Pelodiscus sinensis: one gene and its partners. The protein of the gene in region 2 purifies or fractionates together with the protein of the main gene of each other region. This does not show direct contact. Links are inferred from orthologs where the notes say so. Each region holds a gene or a part of one and is shown on either strand. Other genes may lie near its edges.

Region 1 (7,331 bases), on a different chromosome or scaffold from region 2:
CCTCGCGACACGCGCGTGCGCGTCGCAACCCCTGCAAGCCCCGCTCCCTCTGTCTGGCAAGCCCGCACCTTTCCTCGGGCTGGCTGTGGGGAACCCTGGTTACAGTGCTGGTCTATGGAGCTATACCTAGCCGTCTCATAGCGCTGGAAGGGACCAGTCCCCTGCCCTCACTGCAGGACCGAGAACCATCCCTGGCAGAGTTTGCCCCCGATTCCCTAAATAGCCCCCTTAAGGTTTGTGCTCGCAACTGTGGTTTTAGCAGGCCCATGCTCACACCAGTCAGCTATTCCTCCCCGCTGCGAAGGAGTTACTTCCTGAAGTGCGTGGACTCAGGCTCTGCCACTTAGAGACTGAAAAGCACGTTTAAGAAGTCAACATGCCCCAATGCTATCTTCTAACTTAGGGTACGTCCAGACTACATGCCTCCATCGACGGAAGCATGTAGATTAGCCAGATCGGCAGAGGGAAATGAAGCCGCGATTAAAATAATCGCGGCTTCATTTAAATTTAAATGGCTGCCCCGCTCTGCCGATCAGCTGTTTGTCGGCAGATCGGGGCAGTCTGGACGTTCCCCTGTCGCCAGAAAACCCTTTTGTCGACCGCCCCGTTATGCCTCGTGGGATGAGGCATAACGGGGCGGTCGACAAAAGGGTTTTCTGGCGACGGGAACGTCCAGACTGCCCCGATCTGCCGACAAACAGCTGATCGGCAGAGCGGGGCAGCCATTTAAATTTAAATGAAGCCGCGATTATTTTAATCGCGGCTTCATTTCCCTCTGCTGATCTGGCTAATCTACATGCCTCCGTCGACGGAGGCATGTAGTCTGGACGTACCCTCAGATGGCAAAGGAGAGAAAGGACAAATTTGGGGGGGAGGGTACAGTGGAGGGGAAATGAGGCCATGGCACCAAAATCAGGGGTGGGCCACAGATTGCCTATTTCAGTCAACTGAAAGGCGGCTGGGGGAGAGGCAGACTGGGACAGTGCTTCCTGGTGCTCTCATTGTCTGTGGACAGTAATCCGTGGATACCTGTCGAAGCACAGGTAAATATGGAGGTTGGGGCCCACCAGGAACTAAACCTGCAGGCTGGAATTTGCCCATCCCTGCTCTAAATCCTACTATGTGGCAAACAGGTTGGTAGTGTCAATATCTATACCATAAGACAAATACCCAAGTCCTCCATGCTTGTACTGAAATCCATGTTTCCTTAGGGAACATTCTACTACCTGCTGCACATGACAGCAAATTATGCCTTCTCTCTCCCATAGCTTCATGAGGATGAAGCTGAATGAATTGCAACTAAGAGTTTTCTGACTACTATGGGGCAGGGGGCGGGGGGGGGGGGGGAGATTCAAAAGGAACTCACTTTCATTGAAGACTAACCCTTGGTGTGGTTTCTCAGAGAAGCAGTTCTTGAGAAATTCCAAAATAACAAGTCTGAATTATTTTCAAGTGAGAAATCTGTAAAACAATCTGATTCACTTCAAACTGGGAAAATTTAAAACACACACACTAAAATAGACCAGAGTCAGATATCATGCAGATTGGTTTGAGAAAAAAAGTTATTGGAGAAGGCCAACTTTTCCTGCAAAAAGGGCTCCATCAACACACGTACAAGAGGAGACTTGGGAGGGTGGCCTTGTAGTTGGTACCAAGTAGGCATGAAGGAAATTTCAGTTAAGTTCCTGGCTCTCTTGATGACTTAATAGACAATCATAGCCAAGTCACTTAGGCCTGTAGTAAGTTAAAGGCCTGTAACATAAAAACAGCAGGCCTGAAATCTAGTGAACAAGACTTTGGCTCAGTGAAACCGGAGGCAGGAAAGAGGCTTGGCTAAAGAAAAATAATATAAGCCAGGTCAAGCATAAAGAATGCCAAAAGGTACCAGGCACAGGCTGCAAACACATTCCAGAGAAGTTGTAACAGAATGCCTGGCTAAGAAACATCTTGGTACCAACCGCTTCCCCACAAATAAAGTGCATACCAACCTAGGTTCAGGACCAGGTCGAAGTTGACAGCATGACGGGTTGGCTACGTCTAGACTACATCCCTTTTTCGTAAAAGAGATGTAAATTAGACGTATTGCAATTGCTAATGAAGCAGGAATTTAAATCTCCCCTGCTTCATTAGCATAAAAATGGCTGCCGCTTTTTTTTCGGCACAGAGCTTTGCCAGAAAAAAGCGCCAGTCTAGACACTGATCTTGCGGAAAATAAAGCCTTTTACGAAAGATCCCTTATCCCTCTATGAAATTGCTCTGGCCCCGGCTGAAGCCTGTAAAATCCCTGGGTTTCATGGGAATGCCTTCTTCAGGATAAGCAGTGGAATGAAGCAGGGATACAACCCCAACACACAGAAATGTCAGCGCCCCTTATTGTCAAAGTAGTTCCTCAAAGCCTCCCTGATATTGATAAGCCATCTTACGGGCTCCTCCGACAGCATGATTGTCTGGCTGTTCAAACTGTGCATCTGGGTGCTGTCTCTCACTGTTCCACCCACAGGCAAACACTTCACCCTAACTCTCATACAAATTATATGAGCAACAGCATGCAGCCACCATCTTGGGGATATGATCCTCCAAAAAGTCCACTGAGACACCTCCATTTCCCTTTCAGTCTCCCACAGGCACATTCAGCAATGTGGCATCAGCTTAGCCTGTTGCTGAACCGCTTCTTACTACTGTTGAAGTGCCCCTTGTAAGGCTTTATGAGCCAGGTCTGTAAGGGGTAAGTTGGGGTTACCTAGGATCATTTCCACTTCCTCCACTAATTTTCTGTTATGGAAAGAAAGTCAGCCTGAGGCTTTCTGTACAGCCACTGTTCCTGAAAACGCATGCATCGTGCACTTCTCCAACCACCCCATATTTATATCTGTGAAATGCCTACAGTGATCCACAGGTGCCTGAAGCTTCATGAAGAAGTACCCTTCCGATTGATGTAGTCTGTGGCAGGCGGGGTGGCGCTATAATGGGAATACATGTGCCAATTGCCCCGCCAGTTTAGAAAGACCATTTCAGCAAAGTCAACCACTATTTATGTCATCCACATTTCTCAGACTCCCAGTCCTACACAGCAAAATATGATTTATTGCCCTGCACACTTGCATAAGTGCTGTCCTGACAGTAGACTTCTGTTACCTACAAGCTCTGTGTTCTTGGGGAACCAGGGTGTGGTGCTCATGGAGGACACCCACCTCACTCCAGCCCTCTGCTTGAACCAAAGACAAAGACAGAGGAAGACACACCTAAACCCTCTAGACAAGGGTGATAGGATTAAGTAAACACCCCTATACAACAGCATGGAAGACAGGAGAGGACAGACAGACATCTTTATTTGCATACAGAATGGAGAACAGCACTTCCCTGGTGGGAAATCTCTGCTCTAGATGCTAATGAACCCATGCTCAAACCCAAATCAGTAATTATCAAACCAATTTTAGCAATAGGCCCTCTATTGATATCCATTATATGATTTACAATATAAATCATCATGCTTCAGAACATAAGCCAACTTCTGCATGAGAGGTATTAGGAAAAGTCTTTCCCTGTGAGCAGGTTATTCCATAACTCTTCAATCTTTCTTTACACTTTCCTGTGAAGCATCTGGCAATGACAGCTATCAGAAACTGGATACCGGATGGGTAGGAATACCGGTCTGATCAGGTATGACAATTCTTATATTTCTCTGATGCTAGGGTTGAGATTTCACAGTAAGATACATTGGACAGAGACCTTAAGTTCTCAAAAAGGAAGGCTTCTATTTTACATTTTTATGTAATTTTGTAAAATTAGCAGATAAATACATCCTAAATTGATCACAAACCTACTGCACTGTAATGGTTCCACATTATTTTTCCTTGTTAATTACTAACATCTGACTACATCCTGATACATGAATTGAAATGTTGTCTTATGTACCACTATAAAAATTTTACTAGCTATTGCACAACAAAGCCTTCATTATGCTTTCAGAAGCATTGCTTGTTTGTTACTTGCAGCCTTAACACTACTTTCCTGGGTGTTATTCCCCACACTCAAAAAATAGTCCATCAAAAAGAAAGGAGAAGTAATTATTAACATTATTCAACACAGAGTATTTTGAAACTACAAAATAGTCTTAAAAATTAACAGAACAAAAGCTATCCTTCTCTCCCCTCTGAATTCCAAATAAGGCCCCATGTATTGCAGGGTGGAAAAAGATCCGTTTCTTGAAGACTGAACACTGACACTGGTTAGGGAGTGTGTCACTGGAGGAGATCCTGGCACCAAAGGTAAGGAAAGTTAAAGAGCCATTTCTGAAGGTCGAGGTGGAGTGGAACAACAGTGGCCTCCTATGAAGATCCCAGCTGCTGGAAGGGGGAATGGGTTCTGGTGAAGACAGTTATGTTTTATATATTTGATTAGGACCAAATTATAGCGTATCTGGTGATGGTTCTGATAACTGGATGTACAGTCACCACCATGGTAATTAGCACAAAGATCATAGATTAAATAAGTTACAATAGATTAATTTAAGTATCCATCAATATTTTATTGGGTCAGACTAGACATAAATGCTTTTGTTCTTTATACAGCTGATAGAAAAAGGAAAACATACAGATGAGCTCCAATCCTGCTCCTATAGAAGCCAATGGTAGATTTCTAATAGACTTCAGTGAAAACAGGATCAAACCCATTGAGTATGCAAACTGCTAGGTTATTTTTCTAGGCAAAGTGAACTGAACAACCTTGATACTGTACAATTTACTAGGGCCTAATGTTTAATAAAATTATAACTATGATACACAGTATAAAATGATACCTGCATAAAAAGCAACATTTATTCAAATGGTAAAATAAACATACTCATGGAGAAATGATAAATATATGAAATTCAGAGAGATTAAGGAATTCCAACATTATATAAATACTCAAGTATATAAATAAGTAATTTAAAAAGCAATTATTTGTAGTCTCATTTGAAAAAAATAATTAGGGACCTCATTCAATACAAATAGTCTTGTTATTCTCTCACTGGAGTATAAACAAGGGGGAAATTTGACACTAACTATTCCAAGAGGATTTTCTTTGAGCTTTGTGGAAGACATTTATTTTCTGTAATACAGCTACATCTTAGTAAGCATAGCCTTGCTAGACATGGTTACCCTTTTTTAGAGGGCTACAGTTAAGAAATTACTGTATTCACACAATATGCAAATAGCATGAAGAACAGGCCAAATGTTGCCCCCAATAACACAGCCATAAACCTGGAATGATTTCAGTGTACCTAAATATATAACCAGTAAAACTGAGAGCATAATTTGGCCACAGGGATCACACAAAAGGCTTCCACCAGGAAACTAGTATCTCCCGTCTTCTGATAAGATGAACTCTTTCTGTCTCACTGGGTTCCAAAACAGGATATCCACCACCTCTGTTTTTCAGTTCTCCCAGGTTCTTTTCTGCATATGAGTGTCTTTGGAGGCACATCTGCAAACCAAGACTTCAAGGCTACTTTAATTTTTGCATGATTGGAATGTTTGCATATAGACTGAATAAATTCCAAAGCATTTATAATGAAGTTTTGTAATGCAACTGTTCATCATTATTAATCTCACCAAGATTTACACGGAAGCCAGGGCACTCCCTGTTTCTTAGCTTGCATAACACCTTAATTAGCAGTGGCATTTCTACACTGAGTACCTCATGCAAGCTACTTTGCACTCTCAACTCCAAATGAAATCACCTAGCAGGTTCTAAATAGGGATGTGAAAGGTTAACTAGTTAAACAGTGTGGCCTAGAGCAGCTCCCCACTTGCCATGGCAGCCCCATCCACAGTGGGCCCAGGCACCTGCAGGCAGGGGCTACTCCAGCCTGTCCAGAGCAGCCACTGTCTGCAGCAGGGGAGGAGAGGACAGTCAGGATGTTAAGAGGCAGGTAATTGTATTGACTACACAATTAGTCTATAGGGGAAGGTGCTAAGTCCCAGATCATGCCAGATGTAAGAGCTACTTCCAATGCAGCTTTGCAGTTTAAATGTAGTAAGAGCTGGGTGCGCAGGCAGCCCAGCTCAGTCCCAACTTGAGCCGGGTCCAGGACCTACCACAGCTATGGCTCTGCATTTTAAATATAGTCAGAGCCAGGTGCACATTTTACTACAGGTTGAACCTCTCTAATCCAGTACTCTCTCATCCAGAAACATCTGTTGTCCAGAATGATTTTAGTTAGCTGGATGTCCACCTTTCATGGATGTGGCCAAGTTTCCCACAGTCCAATAAAGTTTGTTTACAGCCACCAGTCCTAGCTCTCAGTGGAAGTGTTGGTAATGCTGCTAGACAATACTGACTTCCTGTAGTCCAGAAAATCCTCTCGTTCAGAACTGGTCAAGTCCCAAGGGTGCCGAACTAGAGAGGCTCAATCTGTACACTTAAAATGCAGAGCTGCAGCAAGGATAGGTCCCAAACCCACTACAAACTGGGACTGAGCCAAGCTTGCTCAGTCTTCACATCAGGTCCAGCAGCCACCCCCAACCCTCTACCCCTCGCAGACAGGGACTGCTGCTGGAGCAGCCTCTGCTCACTGCGAGCCTGAGCCCACTGCGGCCAACCTCTCCTTCCCCCCACTACACACACACTGCTGTACCTGATAGAGGCAGCCGCACAGGGGAGGGGAAGGCTTCACCAGAGAGACGGTGCTGGGGGAACGGGCTTTTAAATCAGCTCCTCCCAGCAATGGTTCCTGCTTCCCCCCCTTGATGCCCCTCATACAGAGGCTGCAAGGGGCAGGAGGGAATGCAAGTAGTCAGCCTAGGCTTATCGGGTAGTCAAGAATTTGACTGCTCTCTTACATCCCTAGAGGAGAAGCAGCACTGGGGTAGCAAGACTGCTCCACCCCAACTGGGCTGGGGCACGCCCCCTCCCTTTACTCAGTTAACCAGTTAAACAATTTGTTTAATCAGTTAACCAATGAAATAGCATTTTACATCCCTAGTTCTAAGTATACAGCATTTAAAATTCTCAAATAGCTTCGGAGACATGAAGAAGCAGACAGGGAAGAGCAAACTGATAAAGACTAGCTAAACTAACTAGACTAAAAAGTAATAAAAGCAACACTTATATTTTACCTTTCTTATTACACTATTAGTAACCACATAATTGCACACTTATTCTATTACACATCGGCTCAAAAGCAATTTCCAAAATATCTTGCATATGGAAAAAATGCAAGGTTTTAAGTCTGAGCTCTTTATTTCTAGTATTCAGACAAAAAAAGATTTCCAGCAAAACTCGGTAAAATTTCTTCCAGATCTCTGTAAACCATGCTTTCTGTCAAGAAACGTTAGTGTTATCTTTTT
Region 2 (7,996 bases):
GTGCCTGGCACAGCAAGCAAGAGCTCCCAGGGGGGTGAGGGGCAGCTCCAAGGCAGAGGGTAGGAGCAACATGGCAGTGCTGAGAGGGGTAGATGAAGTGCCAGTACTTGACAGCCTCCTAGCCAAACCAGTCAGGATCAGCTGTCAAAGGCTCTAGTGATCGTGGGAGAGGAGAGGGGCTGGAAGCTAGGACTCCTGGGTTCTTTCCCCAGTTCTGGGAGAGAAGTGGAGGCTGGTGGGTAAGAGCAGGGGTCTGGGAGCCAGGAGAGGGGGCTGACCTGTTTGTGGACGTGGATGTCAGACTGGTCCGGGGGGCCGCCTGTTGTGTACCAGCCCAGAAATTCCAGATCCTTGAAAACCTGTTTGACTGTGGGGTAGGGAAAGAGAGGAGCAGGATCAGCAGATGGGCAGGGCAGCATGGAACCGGACCTGTCCCCAGACTGGAAATGTGCCCTGGAAGAGTTGAAAAGGCTAATTCCAGCCTGGCTGGGATCCCCCCTTGTACCAACCTGCACTGCTCAGGTTTTAGCTCCTGTTCTGCCCTAAGTCACAGCCTACCAGCACCGGTGCTGTCTCCCACATGCCTGCCCCCTTTCACCCCATGATGGCACTTCTGCACCTCACCTAACCAGAGCGCCAGCCGGGCAGGGGAAGGAGGGAACCACTTCTCCAAGCCCTGAAGCAGCAGGATGGCTCCCTCCTGCCCCTTGCATACCCTTTGTAAAATGGGGACCCAGAATAGATTGCCACAAGGGGTCAAATTCCCCTTCTGGCAGGGGGGCTGCTTACCATGCCCCCGTGCATATGTCATTGTGCTGCAGCATGTGGTGAGCTGTCCATCACCAGAGGCCCCTCTACCCTTTCCAGAGTCCCTGTTTTTCAGGGGCAGTCCCCCACCCCAGGGCTTTGGTCCCAGCTCGGGCACTTGGTAGCAGGCTGGACTGTGAGGCATTTTCTTTGCTGCTCACTGCTGCCCAGCCCCAGCAGTTACACCACAGAATAGCATCACTGACAGGCTTCCCTCAGTGATAACTGCAGCAAGTAGTGTCAAGATGGGTCCCCGCCAGCCTCCCATCTCCTGCACACTCACACTGCTCCTCCTTGGTGTAGTAATACTCCTTGTCGATGAGGGTGCTCTCCTCTGCCGCGTGGGACAGCAGCTCAAAGGAATTCATCACCTCGATGTTCCGGCCCTCCTGCCGCCCGATCAGTGCCCCAATCACTGACAGAGGGAAGCTGTGTTATGGGCCCAGGGGGGCTGACTGGGGACCTCTTAAATCAGGACCCCCACAGGCCTGGCACTCCTACCCCATCAAGGACTCATTGCTTCCTGAGCTGCTTCCTCCTTCCCTGGCTCAGTAGGGAGCATGTGGGGCCCTGGTGGGGGGCAGATTTGCTCTAATCTCTGGTATGGCATGAAGGCAGAGGCATGCAGGTAGGGTCAGCTGCTTGAGGAAAGGAGGAGGAGGAAGAGCTGGGACAGGATTCTGGGGCGTGTATCGGGGACGGGGGCGTGGCCAAGCAGAAGGAGCTGAGCCAACGGCAGAGTATGAGTGGGGAAGGGGCGGAGCTTCTGGATGAAGGGGGCATCAGACTGGGAACAGGTACCATGCTAGCCACGCAGGACCCAGCTGGTGTCATGACATGGGGATTGTGGAAGTTTTATTCTCTTTATGATGTTGCAGGTAGGTTCTACTGTCCTATAGTAACCCTGTGTGTGTGCCTCAGTTTCCCTGAGCACTCTACTAATACGTAGATGAGGATGAGAATTTGGGTGACAGAGCCTCCCCCACATGCAAATGGCTGATGCCTTCTGCAATCTGAACCCAGGAAGGGGGTGTTATCAGGTGACACTTTTTGCCTGGGAAGAAGACAAAGGCCAGAGGAGGGGCCTGGCTGGGGGGCATGGGACCAGGAGCTGGGAATGGCTTGCAGAGCTCCCCCTCCTCTCTAGATGGATTGTGCTGGCTGCTTCTAGTTTCTGGGGTAAGAAGTCTGTTCTACGCTGCATCCCTGTCAGTTATTAAACTTTCTGTCCTACCTACTGGCTGAGAGTCACTTCTGGTTGAGGATGGGCATGGGGGTGACTACCCCATAACTTTCAGTGACACTAGGGATTGGGCGCGTGGCTGCCTGAGCTGGTTAGGGGGAGGGGAGCCACTGTACTGGGCAGCTGCCCGAGTGGGGGAAGGGCTGATACCTTGCACAGGGTGGGGGGGCTGCCTGGGCAGGGACGGGGTTGATACCTTGCACAGGGTGGGGGGGCTGCCTGGGCAGGGACGGGGTTGATACCTTGCACAGGGCGTCCCTCCTGTGAGCGCATGCGGATCCAGTGGTCAGAGATGTTGAGGATCACGAGTGGGTGCAGGGCCACAGAGACGCTGCCCGTCACACCTGAGGCCATCACGGTGGGAAGCACTGGGGGGAGAGGCATGGTCAGTGGGGTGAGGGGCAGGAATCACAGAATCCCAGGGCTGGCAGAGACCTCAGGAAGCATCTGTCCAGCCCCCTGCCCAAGGCAGGACCAACCCAACTAAATCATCCCAGCCAGGGCTATGGGAAGAGATGGGGGAGGGGCGGAGCTCCAAAGAGAAGGGGGCGTGTATCGGGACGGGGGCGTGGCCAAGCAGAAGGAGCTGAGCCAACGGCAGAGTATGAGTGGGGAAGGGGCGGAGCTTCTGGATGAAGGGGGAACAGGCGAGGAGGGGCGTGACCTGAGAATGGGCGGTGCCAGAGTCTGAGGGAAGGGGGGGGCCGAGCCAGCGGGGAAGAGGGCGGAGTCCTGAGGAGGAGCGGCGCGAGTGACAACGGGAGGAATCTGGGGTGGAAGGCGCAAGGCCCCGCCCCCCCCCCGCACCTGCCGCGTCCACCTCCATCCCGCCGGCCCCGTTGCTGCCGGCGCAGGAGGCTCCGGCCGCCGCCATCTCGGCTCCGTGTGTCCCGACCCGGCGCCCGTACGCAGCTCTCCACTCCACGCATGCGCTCCCATCCCCGCACGCGAGGGGGGGGAGGAGCCAGGTGTCCTCAGCGCATGCGCAGCAGGAACCGGCCGGACTCCCTCCCCCAGATGCGCATGCACAGGAGGGGCTGTTGCGTCACCCTGGACTCCTGGGTTCTCCGCCCGGTTGCGTGGGCCAGGGCTGGGACCAGCCCCCGGGCTTCCCGCCTGGCCTCTGGGCTAATCGTGGTCTCACGCACTTGTGACACACCCATGTCACACACTCGTGTGAACGCACCCCCGCACGTGCGCCCCATCGGCACCGACACTCCTGCGCACGCGCACTGCAGTGCCGCCCCCCCCCCAGGTGGCATTCTCACCCCGCCCCCGCCGGGCGCCCGCGGCAGCAGGAAACGGACAAGCCGGTTACTTAATCTGGGGGAATTTCCCGGCACCGCCGGGCCAGTCAGCCAAAACCGAGCTATCACGTCGGGGGAGGGGTGAATAGGGGCGTATATTGTGTGTGCAGCTGTGCAAGGCACGTGTGAGTGTGCAAGGTGGCGCGAGTGTGCAAAGCGGTGTGTGTGGGCGTGCAAGTCATGTGTGAGCGAAAAGAGGCCTGCAGGGTGTGTGTGACTGCACAGTGTTAGGCCCTAGAAAATTAGGCCTAGTGCAGTTATGCTAAAGCAAATGTAACAAAGATTTCTGGGTAGTCCCTGGGCAGAACTGGAGATAGGTTCAAGCAGGGACGCACCCTACAGGCTTGCTCAAGTTGCAAACTGAAATAAGTAAAAAGCTGCATTTTTGTACCTGCTACGATAAGGAACAGTTTGTTTTGAGAACTGATAAGGAGACTCCCTGTTTCTACTTTCCCCCTGTTTGTTCCAAATTCCCTGTTTATGTTCTCCTTTGGCCATAACAAACTGTCTCCTTGTTGCCCAGTACCTATCTTTTGGGCTGATAAGAAATTGCTGATGCATTCTGAATTGCTTAAGGCCATGATGTATAGTTGGCCAGGTGTGCATGGATACTAAAAGTTTCTAACTGATAAAGAGGGGTGGGTTGCTTGGGCAAATAGTCTATGACATGATGGAACTGTCTATATAAGCCTGCCTGTTAATGAAATCGGGGCTGGTTCTCTTTGGAGACGGGCCGCTCTCTATTGTAAGTGCGCACTATTCAATAAAGAGCTTGTGATTGGATCTTGCTGGTGTTGCCTGTCTCTTTGCGGTCAGACAACGAACAGAGGCCGTCCGGGTTCGAGACCCCGACAACAGGAAGAAAGGGTACAAATATGCTGGTCTGCAGGGGTGTGTACCTTTGTATATATATGTTTCCATGGTGTGTAGGTCACTGTTTACATGACTGTGTCTTTGTGCCCCTATCTCGTGTGTCACTTTGCTTGGTGTGTTTTTGTGTTATGAGGGTCTCCGTTTGTTCTTGTATCTTGTGCAAGTGTGTTTGTTTTGTTTTTGTCACAATGTCTGTTTACTCGCCTTTGTGCATTTGTGCCTGTATCTCGTGTGGCCCTGAGTGTGCAAGAGGCAGTGAATGTGGGGGGGAGGGTACAGGGGATGACAGTGCCTGGGCCATGCACATACAGGCAGTCCCTGAGTTACGCGGATCAGACTTATGTCAGATCCGCAGTTACGAACGGGGCTTTTCTCGCCCCGGAGGACGGGAGCGGCGGGACGCCCAGATGCACCATGGTCTGCCGCCCTCGTCCTCCGGGGCGAGAAAAGCTGCTCCCCATCTCCCTGGTCTGCAGGGAGACGGGGAGCAAAGCCTTGGAGCACGCCCGCAGCGGGACAGCCCGGGCGCGCTTGAGCTGTCCCCCTGCGGGCGTGCTCTGCGGCTTTGCTCCCCGTCTCCAGACCAGGGAGATGGGGAGCAAAGCCTCGGAGCACGCCAGCAGTGGGACAGCCGTGGCGCGCCTGGACTGTCCCGCTGCCCGCGTGCTCTGCGGCTTTGCTCTGTGTCTCCCAGGTCAACAGACCAGGGAGACGGAGCAAAGCCGTGGAGGACTTGGGCGGTCCCGCCACCCCTGTCTCCCTGGTCTGCTGGGGGGGGGGGTGCAGCTAGTGCCCCCCCCCCAGCAGACCAGGCTTTTCTTGCCTACCCCTGGGGTAGAGCAGCTGGGGGCTGCCGGGTTGGTCCCGCAGCGCCGCTCCGGACCAACCCGGCAGCACCCCAGCTGCTCTGCCCCAGGCGTCCTGATTCAGCCGCTGCTGGACAGTTTCAGCAGCGGCTGAATCAGGACACCTGGGGCAGAGCAGCTGGGGTGCTGCTGGGTTGCTCCAGGAGCGGCGCTACTGGAGCAACCCAGCAGCACCCCAGCTGCTCTGCCCCAGGCGTCCCCAAGTCAGCAGCTGCTGAAACTGACCAGCAGCTGACTACAGGAAGCCCGAGGCAGAGTTGCTCTGCCCCAGGCTTCCTGGAATCAGCTGCTGATCAGTTTCAGCAGCAGCTGACTTGGGGACGCCTGGGTTTCTTAAGTTGAATCTGTATGTAAGTCAGAACTGGTGTCCAGATTCAGCTGCGGTTGAAACTGATCAGTTTCAGCAGCGGCTGATGCCAGTTCTGACTTGCATACAGATTGAATTTAAGAACAAATCTACAGTCCCTATTTTGTACATAACCCGGGGACTGCCTGTATATAGGGATCGGAGAACACTGCCGGGGAGCTGTGGCAGGTCTGTACGCTTGGTGTAATGCCTACCAGCTGGTGCCCCTCTGGCAGGGTGCCAGGTAGCATGCAAGATGCCCAGGCATAGACCAGCTGCCCCTTGGCAATAGAGCTGGGCAGCCTCACCCCAAACACATGAACCCCATAACCAGGACTTGCTGGGACCACCAGCAGCCCACTCAGGGCTGGGCTGAATTTACTGGGGATTGATCTGCCCAGGGTTAGGGTGTTCTCCTCCCACCCCTTTCTTCTGGGAACCTCCTCCCTGCTTGGAGAGAGGGGCAGGGCATTTCTCAACAGGGTGAGTCGAGCTGCTCAGTCTGAGACTGGACTCTACGGAAACAGGAGTAGGAGACGGTTCCCATGGCTGGGGTGAGTCACATAGCTGAGGGGGCTGGCACAGGGGTCTTCTGGCTTGAGGGACAGCGGAAGAAGGGCAGGGTGTCTGGGGCTGGCTGGAGGTAGCGGAGTCCAGGTCCTGAGAGGAGGATTGAGCAGGCAGAGGAGAGAGAAGTTCCAAGGAGGAGAAGGGGATTGATACTCCCCTCCTCCGGCTATGGCTATGGGAATGAAGGGGCCTCAGAACTGATACCTGGGAGAATTTTTAAGCTTCCCCCCACCCCCAGGTGTTCTGTCCCAAAGCTGAGCCAGGCTGGCAGATCTTTGGTCTGAAGCCACATTGTTTCTTCCCTTTGCCCATGGACCCTTTGCCCATGGGGTCTGGGACAGAGCAGGGTTCAAAATAGGATGGGGGGGGGGTCTCTGTGGAGATTCCAGAGCCCTCCAAGAGCAGGGGAGAGAACCCAGAAGTCCTGGCCCCCTGCTGTAACCACTAGATGGTGCTGGGGGCACTGGGGGATGGAGGGTTTAGAGCAGAGCGTGGCAATTCTTTGTCAAGTTGCTCCTGAATTTCTTTCTGCCCACCTGGATGCAGCTGGGCTCTGAGCCCGGCTTCCCCCTTTCCCACCCCACACCCCTGTCAGGCACTGAGCTTGACGGCTCCTGTTGGCCCCCACTCCTCCCCCAGCGGGGACCCGCCTGTTTGCTCAGCTGGCTGCAGAGCCCGTTAAGTGGCATTTTGGTTGCGACACTGGGTGCCAGGCTGTCCTGGGCTTTCCCAATATCCGCCTGCAAACCCTTCAGGGAAACCACAGGTCTCCCCCCAGGATCCCTCTGGGCCCAAGTGTGCCCAGGGCTCTGGGACCCAGGCCCCACCTGCACTAGGGATGTGATAGTGTAAATATGTGTTATCAGTTAACTCTCATAGTTGGATGCAACAACACCCCTCTCCCCGGATCAGAGTTAGCAGCATGGGGGCTCTCTGCACATATTGGCTCCCGCAGAGCCAGTATATGCCAGTATATGCCCCCCTTACTGCTGTCTGTGCTTTTAAGTTGGCTTCCTGTGTGCACCACCTCCTGCCTGTGTCTCCCCCCTCCCTTCCCTTCCCCAGTGCTACAGGTGGCTCAGTTTTTCAGCAGTTACATGTTTACCTAAATAAATGCATTTGAACATCCTTAACCCGCATCGGGGAGCTCAGCTCCTGAGGGGACATGACCCCTCACGTTGCCCTAGGGGCCCCCAGATGGGACACAAACAAAGCTGATTTCTGGGCCCCAGCCCAGCTGTGGCTGTCAAAACCAACTGGAAAGTGAAACTAGCAGACTGTGGGTTAGGAGTGAGGGGCACCGGCAGGGCTGGGCTGGCAGGGGCTGCACGTCAGGAGTGAGGGGTCAGCTTAAAAGCTGACTCCCTTGTGCACCGACCGGCTCCTGAGGAGTCAACTGCCACCTGGTGTCTGTCTGTGTAAAATTTCAGCAGTTGCATGGCTACTTAATTAGGCACATTTTAACATCCCTATTTGTGGGGCCACTGGCAGAGCTAGGGGGAAGCAGGTTTGGGCTGGCAGGGGCTGTGGTTTGTGTGTGAGGGGCACTGGCAAGGCTGGGGGGCAGGATTGGGTTGGTAGGGGCTGCAGGTCAGGAGTGAGGGGCACCAGCAGGGCATGGGGCAGGATTGGGTTGGCGGGGGCTGCGGTCAGGAGGGCTGGAGGGGCTGGAGTGAGGGCCACTGGCAGGACTGGAGAAGCTCAAGGCTGGGCTGATAGGGGTTGTGGGTCTGAAGTGAGGGATACCGGCAGGGCGGGGGGCAGGATTGGGCTGGCAGGGGCTGCAGGTCTGGAGTGAAGGGCACTGGCAGAGCCTTTCTAATCTCTCTCCCTTCCTCTCAGCCTTGGTGGTCCGTGGGTGTGAATGTCTCAGCGCTGCCCTCCAATGAGACCTCAGGCTGTGGGGAACAAGCCGACTTCCAGTATGTGCTGTTTCCTGTGGTTTACAGCCTGGTCTTTGTGCTTGGCCTGGCCGGAAACCTCT
Region 3 (7,001 bases), on a different chromosome or scaffold from region 2:
ATTACTCCCCCATGTGATTCCATCCCCAGTCCGCCCTTTCCCCCCAGGGCTCCCCATCCCATCCCCATCCCCTACGGCTCCACATCCCAGAGTCCCACTATTCCCCCCAGAGCTCTGCAGTCCATCCCCTCCCCCCAGGGCTCCCGATCCCAACACCCCGCTACCCCCCCGCAGAACTCCCCCCAGGGCTCCCCATCCCAACACCCCGCTCCCCCCCCGCAGAACTCCCCCCAGGGCTCCCCATCCCAACACCCCACTGCCCCCCCCGCAGAGCTCCCCCCATAGGTCCCCTCCCCCCAGGGCTCCCCATCCCAACACCCCACTGCCCCCCCCGCAGAACTCCCCCCATAGGTCCCCTCCCCCCAGGGCTCCCCGCCCCAGCACCCCACTGCCCCCCCCCGCAGAACTCCCCCCATAGGTCCCCTCCCCCCAGGGCTCCCCATCCCAACACCCCACTGCCCCCCCCGCAGAACTCCCCCCATAGGTCCCCTCCCCCCAGGGCTCCCCGCCCCAGCACCCCACTGCCCCCCCCGCAGAGCTCCCCCCATAGGTCCCCTCCCCCCAGGGCTCCCCATCCCAACACCCCACTGCCCCCCCCGCAGAACTCCCCCCATAGGTCCCCTCCCCCCAGGGCTCCCCGCCCCAGCACCCCACTGCCCCCCCCGCAGAGCTCCCCCCATAGGTCCCCTCCCCCCAGGGCTCCCTGCCCCAGCACCCCACTGCCCCCCCCGCAGAGCTCCCCCCATAGGTCCCCTCCCCCCAGGGCTCCCCATCCCAACACCCCACTGCCCCCCCCGCAGAACTCCCCCCATAGGTCCCCTCCCCCCAGGGCTCCCCGCCCCAGCACCCCACTGCCCCCCCCGCAGAGCTCCCCCCATAGGTCCCCTCCCCCCAGGGCTCCCCATCCCAACACCCCACTGCCCCCCCCTGCAGAGCTCCCCCCATAGGTCCCCTCCCCCCAGGGCTCCCCATCCCAACACCCCACTGCCCCCCCCGCAGAGCTCCCCCCATAGGTCCCCTCCCCCCAGGGCTCCCCATCCCAACACCCCATTGCCCCCCCCGCAGAGCTCCCCCCATAGGTCCCCTCCCCCCAGGGCTCCCCATCCCAACACCCCATTGCCCCCCCCCCGCAGAGCTCCCCCCATAGGTCCCCTCCTCCCAGGGCTCCCCATCCCAACACCCCATTGCCCCCCCTGCAGAGCTCCCCCCATAGGTCCCCCCCCAGGGCTCCCCGCCCCAGCACCCCACTGCCCCCCCCGCAGAGCTCCCCCCATAGGTTCCCCCCCAGGGCTCCCCGCCCCAGCACCCCACTGCCCCCCCCGCAGAGCTCCCCCCATAGGTCCCCTCCCCCCAGGGCTCCCCGCCCCAGCACCCCACTGCCCCCCCCGCAGAGCTCCCCCCATAGGTCCCCTCCCCCCAGGGCTCCCCATCCCAACACCCCACTGCCCCCCCCTGCAGAGCTCCCCCCATAGGTCCCCTCCCCCCAGGGCTCCCCATCCCAACACCCCACTGCCCCCCCCGCAGAGCTCCCCCCATAGGTCCCCTCCCCCCAGGGCTCCCCATCCCAACACCCCACTGCCCCCCCCTGCAGAGCTCCCCCCATAGGTCCCCTCCCCCCAGGGCTCCCCCCCCCAGCACCCCACTGCCCCCCCCGCAGAGCTCCCCCCATAGGTCCCCTCCCCCCAGGGCTCCCCATCCCAACACCCCATTGCCCCCCCCGCAGAGCTCCCCCCATAGGTCCCCTCCCCCCAGGGCTCCCCATCCCAACACCCCATTGCCCCCCCCCGCAGAGCTCCCCCCATAGGTCCCCTCCTCCCAGGGCTCCCCATCCCAACACCCCATTGCCCCCCCCGCAGAGCTCCCCCCATAGGTCCCCCCCCCAGGGCTCCCCGCCCCAGCACCCCACTGCCCCCCCCGCAGAGCTCCCCCCATAGGTTCCCCCCCAGGGCTCCCCGCCCCAGCACCCCACTGCCCCCCCGCAGAACTCCCCCCATAGGTCCCCTCCCCCCAGGGCTCCCCGCCCCAGCACCCCACTGCCCCCCCCGCAGAGCTCCCCCCATAGGTCCCCTCCCCCCAGGGCTCCCCATCCCAACACCCCACTGCCCCCTCCTGCAGAGCTCCCCCCATAGGTCCCCTCCCCCCAGGGCTCCCCATCCCAACACCCCACTGCCCCCCCCTGCAGAGCTCCCCCCATAGGTCCCCTCCCCCCAGGGCTCCCCATCCCAACACCCCACTGCCCCCCCCTGCAGAGCTCCCCCCATAGGTCCCCTCCCCCCAGGGCTCCCCATCCCAACACCCCACTGCCCCCCCCTGCAGAGCTCCCCCCATAGGTCCCCTCCCCCCAGGGCTCCCCATCCCAACACCCCACTGCCCCCCCCGCAGAGCTCCCCCCATAGGTCCCCTCCCCCCAGGGCTCCCCCCCCCCAGCACCCCACTGCCCCCCCCGCAGAGCTCCCCCCATAGGTCCCCTCCCCCCAGGGCTCCCCATCCCAACACCCCATTGCCCCCCCCGCAGAGCTCCCCCCATAGGTCCCCTCCCCCCAGGGCTCCCCATCCCAACACCCCACTGCCCCCCCCTGCAGAGCTCCCCCCATAGGTCCCCTCCCCCCAGGGCTCCCCATCCCAACACCCCACTGCCCCCCCCGCAGAGCTCCCCCCATAGGTCCCCTCCCCCCAGGGCTCCCCCCCCCCAGCACCCCACTGCCCCCCCCGCAGAGCTCCCCCCATAGGTCCCTCCCCCCAGGCCCCCCCGCACCTTGAGGGTCACGTCGCAGAGCTTGCCCTGCCTCCGGATCTCGCCCATCACGCCGTAGCCCCGGCTGGGCAGGTCCCCCACCGAGAAGTGCACCAGGTCCTCGGGGTCCAGCTCCGGCTCGGCCGCCTCCAGCATCGTCCCGCCCGGCCCGGCCCCGCGCTCGCAGGGCAACGCGGGAGAGAGGAGCCGCCTCCGCCTCCGCTCGCGCCCGGCCCGCGCTGGCCCCTCCCGGCCGCCGTCACCAGCCGGGGCCCGACCCCCCTCACGCCCCCGCCCCGCCCCGCCCCTCCGCGGCGGAAATGCGCTCCCCGCTTCCGCCTTCCCTCCGAGCACGTTCCGGACGCGGCCGGAAGGGGCGGGAGTCATGGTAACGGAGTGTACAGCCCGCGGCCTCCGCTGCGCCCCGGGCCCGGGCAGCGACAGGAGCAGGCGGCGGCGGGAAGAGCGGCCAGCCCCGGTCAGTGCCGGGCCCCTGCCTGCGGCGGCACCGCCTCCCCGCCTCCCCCGTCGGCCAGCTCGCCCGCCCCCCCACCTCCCCGCCTCTGCCCTCATCGCCCCCCTGCTCCCTCCCCCAGCTCACCCGCCCCCCCACCTCTGCCCTCATCGCCCCCCTGCTCCCTCCCCCAGCTCATCCGCCCCCTCTGCCCCCTCCGCCTCTGCCCCCTCCCCATCGCCACCCCGCCCCCTCTGCCCCCCTCCGCCCCTGCCCCCCCATCGCCTCTGCCCCCCCGGCCCCTCCCCATCGTCCCCCGCCCCCCTCTGCCCGCTCCCCATCGCCCCCCCGCCCCCCTTGACCCTGCCGCCTCCCCATCGCTCCCCCCGCCCCCTCCTCCTCTGCTCCCCTTCTGCCCTCCTCTGCCCCTGCCCCTCCCCATTGCCACCCCGTCCCCTCACCCCCTCCGCCCCTGCCCCCCCCGCCCTCCTCCGCCTCTTCCCGTTCCCCATCGCCACCCCGCCCCCTCTGCCCCTGCCCCCTCCCCATCGCCTACCCCCGCCCCCTCTTCCCCCTCCCCATCGCCACCCCGCCCCCTCTGCCCCTGCCCCCTCCCCATCGCCTACCCCCGCCCCCTCTTCCCCCTCCCCATCGCCACCCCCGCCCCCTCTGCCCCTGCCCCCTCCCCATCGCCTACCCCCGCCCCCTCTTCCCCCTCCCCATCGCCACCCCCCGCCCCCTCTGACCCCTCCCCATCGCCACCCCTGCCCCTGCCCCCTCCCTATTGCCCCCCTCTGTCCCGTCTGCCCCTGGCCCCTCCCCATCGCCACCCCCGCTCCCTCTGGCCCCTCCCCCTCCGCCTCTGCCCCCCCTCTGCCCTCCTCCGCCTCTTCCCCCTCCCCATCGCTCCCCATCGCCACCCCGCCCCCCTCTGCCCCCTCCGCCTCTGCCCCCTCCCCATCGCCACCCCGCCCCCTCTGCCCCCTCCCCCAGCTCACCCACCCCCTCTGCCCCTTCCGCCTCTGCCCCCTCCCCATCGCCACCCCGCCCCCCTCTGCCCCCTCTGCCCCTTCCGCCTCTGCCCCCTCCCCATCGCCTCCCCACCCCCCTCTCCCCCTTCCGCCTCTGCCCCCTCCCCATCGCCTCCCCGCCCCCTCTGCCCCCCTCCGCCTCTGCCCCCTCCCCATCGCCTCCCCGCCCCCTCTGCCCCCCTCCGCCTCTGCCCCCTCCCCATCGCCACCCCGCCCCCCTCTGCCCCCTCCGCCTCTGCCCCCTCCCCATCGCCACCCCGCCCCCTCTGCCCCCTCCCCCAGCTCACCCGCCCCCTCTGCCCCTTCCGCCTCTGCCCCCTCCCCATCGCCACCCCCGCCCCCCTCTGCCCCCTCCGCCTCTTCCCCCTCCCCATCGCTCCCCATCGCCTCCCCACCCCCCTCTCCCCCTTCCGCCTCTGCCCCCTCCCCATCGCCTCCCCGCCCCCTCTACCCCCCTCCGCCTCTGCCCCTTCCCCATCGCCTCCCCGCCCCCTCTGCCCCCCTCCGCCTCTGCCCCCTCCCCATCGCCTATCCCCACGCCCTCTGCCCCTTCCGCCTCTGCCCCCTCCCCATCGCCTATCCCCACCCCCTCTGCCCCTTCCGCCTCTGCCCCCTCCCCATCGCCTCCCCGCCCCCCTCTGCCCCCCTCCGCCTCTGCCCCCTCCCCATCGCCTCCCCGCCCCCCTCTGCCCCCTCCGCCTCTGCCCCCTCCCCATCGCCTACCCCCGCCCCCCCTCCCCCTTCCGCCTCTGCCCCCTCCCCATCGCCACCCCGCCCCCTCTGCCCCTTCCGCCTCTGCCCCCTCCCCATCGCCTCCCCGCCCCCCTCTGCCCCCCTCCGCCTCTGCCCCCTCCCCATCGCCTACCCCCGCCCCCCCTTCCGCCTCTGCCCCCTCCCCATCGCCACCCCGCCCCCTCTGCCCCTTCCGCCTCTGCCCCCTCCCCATCGCCTATCCCCACCCCCCTCTGTTCCCATCCCCCTCTGCCCCCTCCCCATCGCCTCCCCGCCCCCCTCTGCCCCCCTCCGCCTCCTCCCCATCGCCACCCCGCCCCCCTCCCCCAGCTCACCCGCCCCATCACCCTCCCTCGCCCCCTCCGCCTCTGCCCCCTTTCCATCGCCCACCCCCGCTCCACTCCCCACCCTCCTCCACCTCTGCCCCCCTCCCCATCGCCTACCCCCGCATCTTTGTCTCCCCTGCCCCTGTCTCCCAGGCTTCCCCGTCCTTCTATCACCAAAACTGTCCCATCCCACCTCCTGCTGATCCCTGTCACTATCCCCACCTCCTAGGCATCCCATCCCCACTTTTGAGATACCCTCATTTCCCAGCCATCACTATTACCGTCTCCACTGGCCAACTATCTGTGACCCCCTGTCACCATCCCTGGGCCCATGTCTCCATCTCCCAGCCAACTCAGTCCCCCTTGATTCCCATCCCCATCCTTGTGTCTCACCTATCCTTACATTCCCAGCTCCCAGTCTTCCCCGTCCTTGTCCATGCCATCTCCATGTCACTGCCACCGTCCCCGCTTCCCACCTATCCCTGTGTTGCCACTTATCCCAGCCATTCCTGTCTATGTGTCTCACTGGTCCTGCATGATCACCGCCAACAACACACCCCAACAAACCCCTCACCGTCACCTCCTCCAGCCTCGCTTGCTGGATTGCATCATCCTCTTCCCCATTGCCCAGCCATCTCTATCTCATATTGCCAGCGCACCCATGTCTCCATGTCACCACCATCCTCACTCATCCGTGTATCATCTCTGAGTTCATCCCAGTGTCCCAGCTCTCCCAGGGCTCCTGCATCACCTCCTCTTCATGCTCTCACAGCCATGTGTTAGCATTGTCTCTCTAACCACGTCTCAGGCACTTCAACATGTGTCTGACTGCACAGTTGGGGAGATTGGAAAGGGGCTGTGGAATCTGGCACTTCTGTGTGGTTGGTTAAAAGCCTGTGTGAGTGAGTGATTGTTGGTAAAGTTGGCAGGCTGTGTGGCAGCCTGTGTGGAATGACCTTGGTGGGTCTCAATCCAGTGAAAAAGTGCCCATGTCACAGCCGTCACAGCCAACACAAATTGGCATCCTTGTTGCAGTCTGTCCAGAAAGGCCAATGCCTGAATGGGCCATAGTGGCTGAACTCCCATTCTTACGTGTAGCTGTGAACCTGCTGTCAATGGTAAAGAATCACAGGAGCCACTGTCTTCTAACACTGAATAAGGAATTTTATTTGAATAAGGAAAATTGCATTAGCCCTCTCTCACCTTTGAGCGTCGGCTTAGAACCTTCCCTAGCTCCCTTTTCCTACCTGTCTTCTTTCTACAGCCTTAAAGAAACAGTGCCCCTTTCCTCACAATTTTCTTGTCAAGGTAGAATCCCATTGCTATGAAAGATTACAGTACCAGTGCCTGAACCTTACCTGGTCTTTGGATTAAAAAAAACAACAACTGCACTGTCCTGGACCATCACTAGCACTGACTCCATGTGAGAGTCATAGCCCAGAAACCGCTGGCCTGAATAGTCATGTGTATCTGTTTAATCTCCTCCAGGTGTCCCCACAAGCCATTATCCCTATTCATTGGTGAGTATATGCGTCAGATGAGATGGTGAGAATCTTCCAATCTCAGAGCCTAATCCCATAAATCCGTAGCTGGCGCGACCATCATTCAGTCCTGTGGGAATTTAGTGCATCTCAGGCTCACAGGATTGTATCCTAATTTAGACTAACATTATGAAGTAGACCCAATGTCTGACATATCACCAGATAGTGGTCAGAGTGTGGAAA
Region 4 (7,739 bases), on a different chromosome or scaffold from region 2:
ACACAAAGGACCAGATTTCACAGGGGGGAGACCAAATTTCATGGTCCATGACTTGTTTTTCACGGCCATGAGTTTGGTAGGTCTCTAACCATAACCACCATCATGCTGGAAGAACTGGACACATCATTAAAAGATGACTCTAGCCCATGCACAAGAGCTAACTGTCTTGCCACAGCCCTCTTCTGCCACGCTTGTAGCAGTTCAGCCTACCTATATTTCAAGAGGGGACCTGCACCATGACCCCAGTGTTTCAACCTTTAGGCAAGTTGTAAAAGCAAGTGGATACCTTTAAGAAGTTGTACATGCCACCCCTGGATTTGTGTAATAGAGATGAGCATTTTTTTTAAAGCCTCCCATGTACATTAATAGATTAGGAAGACATGATCTCCCTTTACAGAAACTGTGTTGACTTTTGCCCAACAAATTATGTTCTTCTATGTGTCTGACAATTTTATTCTTTATTATTGTTTCAACTAATTTGCCCGGTACTGATGTTACACTTACCGGTCTGTAATTGCCGGGATCGCCTCTAGAGCCCTTTTTAAATATTAGCATTACATTGGCTATCTTCCAGTCATTGGGTACGGACGATGATTTAAAGGATAGGTTACAAGCCATAGTTAATAGTTCCACAATTTCACAGGTGAGTTCTTTCAGAACTCCTGGGTGAATGCCATCTGGTCCTGGTGACTTGTTACTATTAAGTTTATCAGTTAATTCCAAAATCTCCTCTAAGACACTTCAATCTGTGACAAGTCCTTGTCACCGACAGGTCAGGTTTGGGAATCTCCCTAACATCCTCACCAGTGAAGACTGAAGCAAAGAATTCATTTAGTTTCTCCTCAAGGACATCTTTAAGTGCTCCTTTTGTATCTCGATCGTCCAGGAGCCCCACTGGTTGTTTAGCAGGCTTCCTGCTTCTGATGTACTTAAAAACATTTTGTTACCTTTTCTGTCACCGCTGTTCCATCATGAGTCTGTAACTCACTGAACAGACTCCTGTTCAATGCCCAGTCAACAAAGGGTAACAGCCCCAGCTACAGATCTTGATTCCTCAGCTAAAGCCTGAGTCACTACACTCAGCTTTCTGCTCCTGAAGTGCCAATAGGGAGACACAAGATTGTGTGCTCAGTGGGCTATGGCTTCTCCAACCCACAACTGCTTTGCAGCCATTCCAAGCACCCCTTTAAAGGGCAGAGCCCCACTAACACCATGCCACACAGACCCCACACAGAGACAACTTGGGGGCCTGCATTCCCAGGCTGATCTGACACCTTAGTGCATCCTGCTCCCTCCACTCCAGCCATCACAGGCCTGGAAAGCAGCTCTGGGCCCTCTCAAGGCAGGAGGCCCAAACCCTGGGATGTGTTGGTGAGGCCTGGCGTGTGGAAGACCTAGGGGGGCAGGCAGGTGACCACACCGCCCAGAGGCATGGCAGAAGGAAGGGCGGCCCTCTCCTGCCTCACCATACCTGCGTCCAGGCTGGGGCCAGGTATCTAGCTGCAGGGAGCACCAGCGCAGCCCCCTGCTATGCAGAGCCCACGGAGGGGCGGAGGTTGAGGCTCAGCCTATGGCTCACCTCAACCGGTGTCCCGGACAGCGAGAGGAGCAGCAAGCCCCATGTGGGGGCCAGCATGGGATGCCTGCTCCACCCCACCTCAGTGGTCCCTACTTGTACACTGGGGTGGCCCACTGCAACCCCCCCTTGTATGCTTTTTGCCTCCTTCCTCTCAGGCTACCCACAAGTGGGCTGGGATGCTCCCCTACACCCCCTCCTTGGCACCGTCCCTTGGTCCCCTCCCACATACACACACACACCCCAGTCCCACTGCTCACCTGAGGGCTGGGATGCTCCCCTACCCCCCCTCCCGTGGGCCTCCTGATAGCCCCCCTCCCGGGCCCTAAACCCCTCCTTGTTCGCTCCACTGCATTCCCTGGGCCCTACATCCGCTCCCCCAGGCAGCCCAAGAGCCCACACCCTGGCACCCCCCTAGTCGCTACCCCCCCATTGCTCACATGAGGGGGGATGCTCCCCTCTCCCCCTGGGGCCCCACGCCCCCCTAGTCCCTACACCCCCCCGTTGCTCACCTGAGGGGGGATGCTTCCCTCCCCGCCCTGCCGGCCCTTGCCCACCTGAGGGGGGATGCTTCCCTCCCCGCCCCCCGCCCACCTGAGGGGGATACTCCCCCCCGCCCCTGAGGAGGATGCCCCCCCGGCCCTCGCCCACCTGAGGGGGATGCTGCCCCCCCACGCTCCTGAGGGGGATGCCCCCCCGCGTCCCCGGCCCCCTGAGGGGACTGCCCCCCCGGCCCTCACCCACCTGAGGGGGATGCCTCCCCCGCGCCCCTGAGGGGGATGCTCCCCGCCCCCCCGGCCCCCGCCCCCCCGAGGGGGATGCCCCCCCGCGCCCCTGAGGGGGATGCTCCCCGCCCCCCCGGCCCCCGCCCCCCCGAGGGGGATGCCCCCCCGCCCCCCGAGGGGGATGCCCCCCCGCGCCCCTGAGGGGGATGGTCCCCCCCCGCGCCCCCCCGAGGGGGATGCTCCCCGCCCCCCCGGCCCTCGCCCCCCTGAGGGGGATGCCCCCCCCGCGCCCCTGAGGGGGATGGTCCCCCCCCGCGCCCCTGAGGGGGATGCTCCCCGCCCCCCCGGCCCTCGCCCACCTGTGGGCCGGGATGCGCTGCGAGCCGCGGCCCTTGCCCACCAGGAAGTGCACGTCGCTGAGCACCTCGTTGTTGAAGAGGAAGGCGAATCGCTCCTGCACCGTGGGCTTGGTGGCCTGCCAGTTGTACACGGGCTCGCGCGGCAGCGCCCCGCCCCCGGGCCCCGCCGCCCCGGCCGCCGCCGCGGGGTTGCCGGCCCCGCACTGGTTGTAGGTGAGGCCCGGCGGCGCGGCGGGGGCGGGGGCGGGCGCGGGGGCGGCGCAGGCGGCGCCGTTGCCCGGGGGGGGCGGCGGCTGCGGGCCGGAGGAGGAGAGGCCCCCGGGGCCCCCGCCGCTCCCGCCGGCCGCCATCTTGTGCGCAGGAGGCGCGGGCGGGGCAGGGCGGCGCGGCGGCGGGCGCGGGGCGGGGGCGCTGCGGCGGCTGAGGCACAAGGCCGGGCAGCAGCGGCGCATGGGGCTCGGGCGCGGCGGCGCGCGCAGGGGGCGGGGCGTGGGGGCGTTGGGGGGCAGGTAGGGGTGGGGGGGTATGGCAGGGATGAGGCCGGGGGGGCAGTGGTGGCCATGAGGAGGGTGGGAGATGGAGGGTGGGGTGCGTGGGGGTGAAGGGCATGAGGAGGGTGGGAGATGGAGGGTGGGGTGCGTGGGGGTGCAGGACATGAGGAGGGTGGGAGATGGAGGGTGGGGTGCGTGGGGGTGAAGGGCATGAGGAGGGTGGGAGATGGAGGGTGGGGTGCGTGGGGGGTGCAGGACATGAGGAGGGTGGGAGATGGAGGGTGGGGTGCGTGGGGGTGAAGGGCATGAGGAGGGTGGGAGATGGAGGGTGGGGTGCGTGGGGGTGCAGGACATGAGGAGGGTGGGAGATGGAGGGTGGGGTGCGTGGGGGTGCAGGGCATGAGGAGGGTGGGAGATGGAGGGTGGGGTGCGTGGGGGGTGCAGGGCATGAGGAGGGTGGGAGATGGAGGGTGGGGTGTGTGGGGGTGCAGGGCATGAGGAGGGTGGGGTGCGTGGGGGTGCAGGGCATGAGGAGGGTGGGGTATGTGGGGGTGCAGGGCATGAGGAGGGTGGGAGATGGAGGGTGGGGTGCGTGGGGGTGCAGGGCATGAAGAGGGTGGGGAGATGGAGGGTGGGGTGCGTGGGGGTGCAGGGCATGAGGAGGGTGGGAGATGGAGGGTGGGGTGCGTGGGGGTGCAGGGCATGAGGAGGGTGGGGTATGTGGGGGTGCAGGGCATGAGGAGGGTGGGGAGATGGAGGGTGGGGTGCGTGGGGGTGCAGGGCATGAAGAGGGTGGGGAGATGGAGGGTGGGGTGCGTGGGGGTGCAGGGCATGAGGAGGGTGGGAGATGGAGGGTGGGGTGCGTGGGGGTGCAGGGCATGAGGAGGGTGGGGTGCGTGGGGGTGCAGGGCATGAGGAGGGTGGGGAGATGGAGGGTGGGGTGCGTGGGGGTGCAGGGCATGAGGAGGGTGGGAGATGGAGGGTGGGGTGCGTGGGGGTGCAGGGCATGAGGAGGGTGGGGTATGTGGGGGTGCAGGGCATGAGGAGGGTGGGGTATGGGGGCAGGAGAAACGCAGGAGGGGAGAGGTCAGGCTTGAGGCCTGCATTGGGGAGTGGGAAGGGAGAGGCAGGGCAGGAGGGAGAGGTGTGAGGGACAGGAGAGTGGGGAATGGAGGAGGGGGCGGGGAGGCCACGAGGAGATTGGGAGATCGAGGGTAAGGGTTAGGGAGACCTGAGTGTGGGGGCGATGAGGAATGCAAGGAGAGGGGTATGTTAGGTGTGAGGCCTGTGGGGGGCGCAGTAAGGAGAGGGAGAGGTGGGAGGGAGGAGAGACATGCAGGAGGGGGGAGTCTTAGGGGAGAGAAGGAATGAGGGGATGGAGGAAGCCCAGCAATGGGAACCTGAGGAACTTCTTGGTATTTCCATGTCAGTTACAAATTGTCTTGACTGCATGATTAGCCAGATAACCCTAATTTAACACCCTTACATCTCACCTTGGTGAGTGGAGGGCTTATGAGGAAGAGGCAGCTTCTCATGAAGGTTAGGTAGCCTGTTGGGGAAACAGCAACACTTCAGTGGCGGGTGACCTGCAGCCCAAAGGGTTCGACCGATGGCCTGCAGGACGTTTTGTTTACCATTGCCCATGCACAGAGTTGTCAGATTCCCCTGGTTTCTGTCAGCATCGTTTTTCTCCTGCCAGTATTACTAAAATAGAGCAAGGGTGCATGCAAGGAGGTGCGTGCTGATTGCACACAATGGTGACTGTGAGAACTAGGCACTCTCCCTGCATCCAATCAAGGCGCTGCTATGGTTTAATTGGCATACCCTGCAAATTCTAGGTATGCAAGCACTGTTAGGAAAACTACCCTATCCCACAAGACAGTCTTGGTTACAACAGTCTTGCGGTCCACTGAGATGAAGGAGGGCTACTCCTGTGGCCCACTCACTAGTCTACGTTTATCCCCTGAAGAATAAGCCTGAAGCACCATTCTGTCATCCCTTTGCACTGGTGCAAACCAACCTTTTCCAAAAGCCAGATACCAAAACTTCAGCAGCACCTCAAGGCTATGTTGATTACTGCTCTGCAATCCCTTACAATCCTTAGGCCAAGGAACTGATGCTCTGTGGCTGATGTACCTGCTCTTTTCTCTGTGTTCCTTATCTTCAGAGATACTGCTCGCCAATAAGCTGATACCTCATGTGTAACATCTGCTGTGTAGGCATGTATTTCACACCAACCTTGCACCTCACCTCATTGTACGCTGCTGCGGCCATGGAGATACTGTGGAAACGTGAATGCCTTGCAAGATAACACAGCAGGATGTGCATGCTGCCTGGCAGATGAGATAAATTATTTCACAGCCAGCCAATATTCCTTACATAGGAAATGGCAGGGATGTCAGAAGGAACCTGAAAGGCAGCAGATGGGCAGGTGCAGACAATCACAAGAGCCCATATTGGCCCAAACTTGATAGCCATTAAAACAAGGCGGCTACGTCTACACTGGCACCCTTTTCCGGAAATGCTTAAAACGGAACAGTTTTCCGTTATAAGTATTTCCGGAAAAAGCACGTCTACATTGGCAGGATGCTTTTCTGGAAAAGCACTTTTTCCGGAAAAGCGTCTGTGGCCAATGTAGATGCACTTTTCCACAAAAAAGCCCCGATCGTCATTTTTGCGATCGGGGCTTTTTTGCGGAAAAGACTGCTGTACTGTCTACACTGGCCCTTTTCCCGAACAGTTTTTCCAGAAAAGGACTTTTGCCCGAACGGGAGCAGCATAGTTTTTCCGGAAAAACACTGACAATTTTACAGTAGATCGTCATTGCTTTTCCAGAAAAGCAAGCGGCCACTGTAGACAGCTCGCAGCTTATTCCGGAAAAGCAGCTGCTTTTCCGGAATAAGTGGCCCAGTGTAGACACAGCCGGCGATTTTATTTGCCACAAAGAAGGGAATAAAACTCCCTGCTCCTCCTTGTTCTCTGTTCCATTGGTGACATTCTGCCTGTGGATGTACATACATACACATTTCAGAGCAGACTCTTTGTCCTTGGTTCCACCGGTTGAATAACTGCTCAGCCAGGAGGCATATTTTCTTCCCCTTGTTTTTCTGTGGTTTTGATTCTTGTTTGCTTAATCCACAATGACACACTGTTTATATGGGTCCAAAGCTCCAACCCCTCTGTGCGTCCCAGCAGTTTCACAGATAAATCACTGCATCAGCTAAGGAATACATCATTAGGGCATTGATCTAGTATCAAAAGCTTTCCCAACTCGTTTGGTAACAAATATATGGAGTCTGCTGTGGCGACGCCGACACTGAACAAAGAAGAATGGAGTATATAGCGGGGAGGTGAAAGTGTAACAGTGTACATGGTTAACCAGTGAGCCTGGGTTCCTCAGTTAACCTTGATGGTTAACACACAGGCTCCTGGTATGCACAGAGCCCGTGCGCACCAGCTCCCAGGGAGTAAATGTGTAACTGCTGAAATTTTCATAGGTTACACATTTACTTAATTAAATGCATTTTAACATCCCTAATCTATATGGACAAATTCTGCAGATGTGTGGCTAAAAATTAAGAGCCCAGTTTTGCAAATACAATATATATGTAAAAAGACAAAGTGGGTGATGTAACATATTGGATCAACTTCTGTTGGCAAAACAGACAAGTTTTCAAGCTTACATGGTGCTCTTTAGGGGTGCATTTACACTGCACCGGTTTTCTGGAATAACAGCCATTATTTGGGAAAAACTACTAGCGTTCACACTGCACTTGTGTTATTTTGACAGAAAGTCGAAATAACAGATGGCGGTAAACTTCATTCTATGAGGAATAAGCCCTTTTCTGAAAAAACGTTTTCGGAAGAGGGTGTGTATAGACACTCCACTGCTGCTATGTTGAAGTAGCTCCTCACCAGGGCCATTCCTCCGCAGTGCCTCCTGGGGCTCTAAGTCAAGACAGCGCGTCCACATTGGGGGAGCCTGCCTCAGACTAATTTGGAGGCGTCTCTGTAGTGTGCATGCTCTATTTTGAAATAAGCTTTTCCGGAAGATATCTGCCAGGAAAGCTTATTCCGAAAGAAGTTTGCAGTGCAGACGTACCCCAGGTCTGGGAAGGGTACTAAAGTGTCACAGCTAAATACAAGGGTACAAGAGATAAGGCTTTAGCACATCTGGCAAGAGACCATGGAGAAGTGGGCAGTTAATGTATCAATCATCACAGGACAAAGGATTAGTGGGTTACAGATTGTTGTAATGAGCCACTCGTCTAGTATCTTTATTTAAAATCAAGGAGTCCTGTGGCACCGTAAAGACTAACATTTATTTGGGAAAAACCGAGTGGCCCTGTAGCACCTTAGAGACTAACAAAAATATATAGATAGAATCATGAGCTTTAGTGAGCACAATCTGCTTCTTCAGAGGAGCAGAGCAAAAAGGAGAAAAACCCCAATTCTATATATTCTATATATTTTTGTTAGTCTCTGAGGTGCTACAGAACCACTTGCGTTTTTTTTTAAATTATAAACTAACCTGGCTACCTGTCTGAGATTTATTTGGGCATAAGATTTGGTAGACAAAGACCAACTT

What was found.
Region 1: the proteins of COPS6 (region 2) and CUL4B purify together in Homo sapiens (affinity purification with mass spectrometry; 8 studies listed by BioGRID and IntAct, counting the BioPlex papers as one, with this or other methods). This does not show direct contact. The link is inferred for Pelodiscus sinensis from reciprocal best matches to the Homo sapiens genes COPS6 and CUL4B.
Region 3: the proteins of COPS6 (region 2) and KLHL18 purify together in Homo sapiens (affinity purification with mass spectrometry; 3 studies listed by BioGRID and IntAct, with this or other methods). This does not show direct contact. The link is inferred for Pelodiscus sinensis from reciprocal best matches to the Homo sapiens genes COPS6 and KLHL18.
Region 4: the proteins of COPS6 (region 2) and BTBD2 purify together in Homo sapiens (affinity purification with mass spectrometry; 4 studies listed by BioGRID and IntAct, counting the BioPlex papers as one, with this or other methods). This does not show direct contact. The link is inferred for Pelodiscus sinensis from reciprocal best matches to the Homo sapiens genes COPS6 and BTBD2.

Annotation. Positions count from the first base shown.
Region 1 is NC_134723.1:33,773,086-33,780,416, forward strand, and holds the start of CUL4B (cullin-4B), read left to right. Parts: upstream 1-4,325; 5' UTR 4,326-4,442; coding exon 4,443-4,461; intron 4,462-7,331.
Region 2 is NC_134734.1:7,454,187-7,462,182, reverse strand, and holds the start of COPS6 (COP9 signalosome complex subunit 6), read right to left. Parts: upstream 3,017-7,996; 5' UTR 2,925-3,016; coding exon 2,858-2,924; intron 2,419-2,857; coding exon 2,293-2,418; intron 1,223-2,292; coding exon 1,091-1,222; intron 368-1,090; coding exon 279-367; intron 1-278. Other genes in the region: lysophosphatidic acid receptor 6-like, read left to right, coding at 5,988-5,996, 7,855-7,996. UniProt on the Homo sapiens protein: Component of the COP9 signalosome complex (CSN), a complex involved in various cellular and developmental processes.
Region 3 is NC_134712.1:255,873,343-255,880,343, reverse strand, and holds the start of KLHL18 (kelch-like protein 18), read right to left. Parts: upstream 3,009-7,001; 5' UTR 2,891-3,008; coding exon 2,756-2,890; intron 1-2,755. Other genes in the region: kinesin-like protein KIF9, read left to right, coding at 6,740-6,797. UniProt on the Homo sapiens protein: Substrate-specific adapter of a BCR (BTB-CUL3-RBX1) E3 ubiquitin-protein ligase complex required for mitotic progression and cytokinesis.
Region 4 is NC_134729.1:27,664,249-27,671,987, reverse strand, and holds the start of BTBD2 (BTB/POZ domain-containing protein 2), read right to left. Parts: upstream 3,011-7,739; coding exon 2,661-3,010; intron 1-2,660.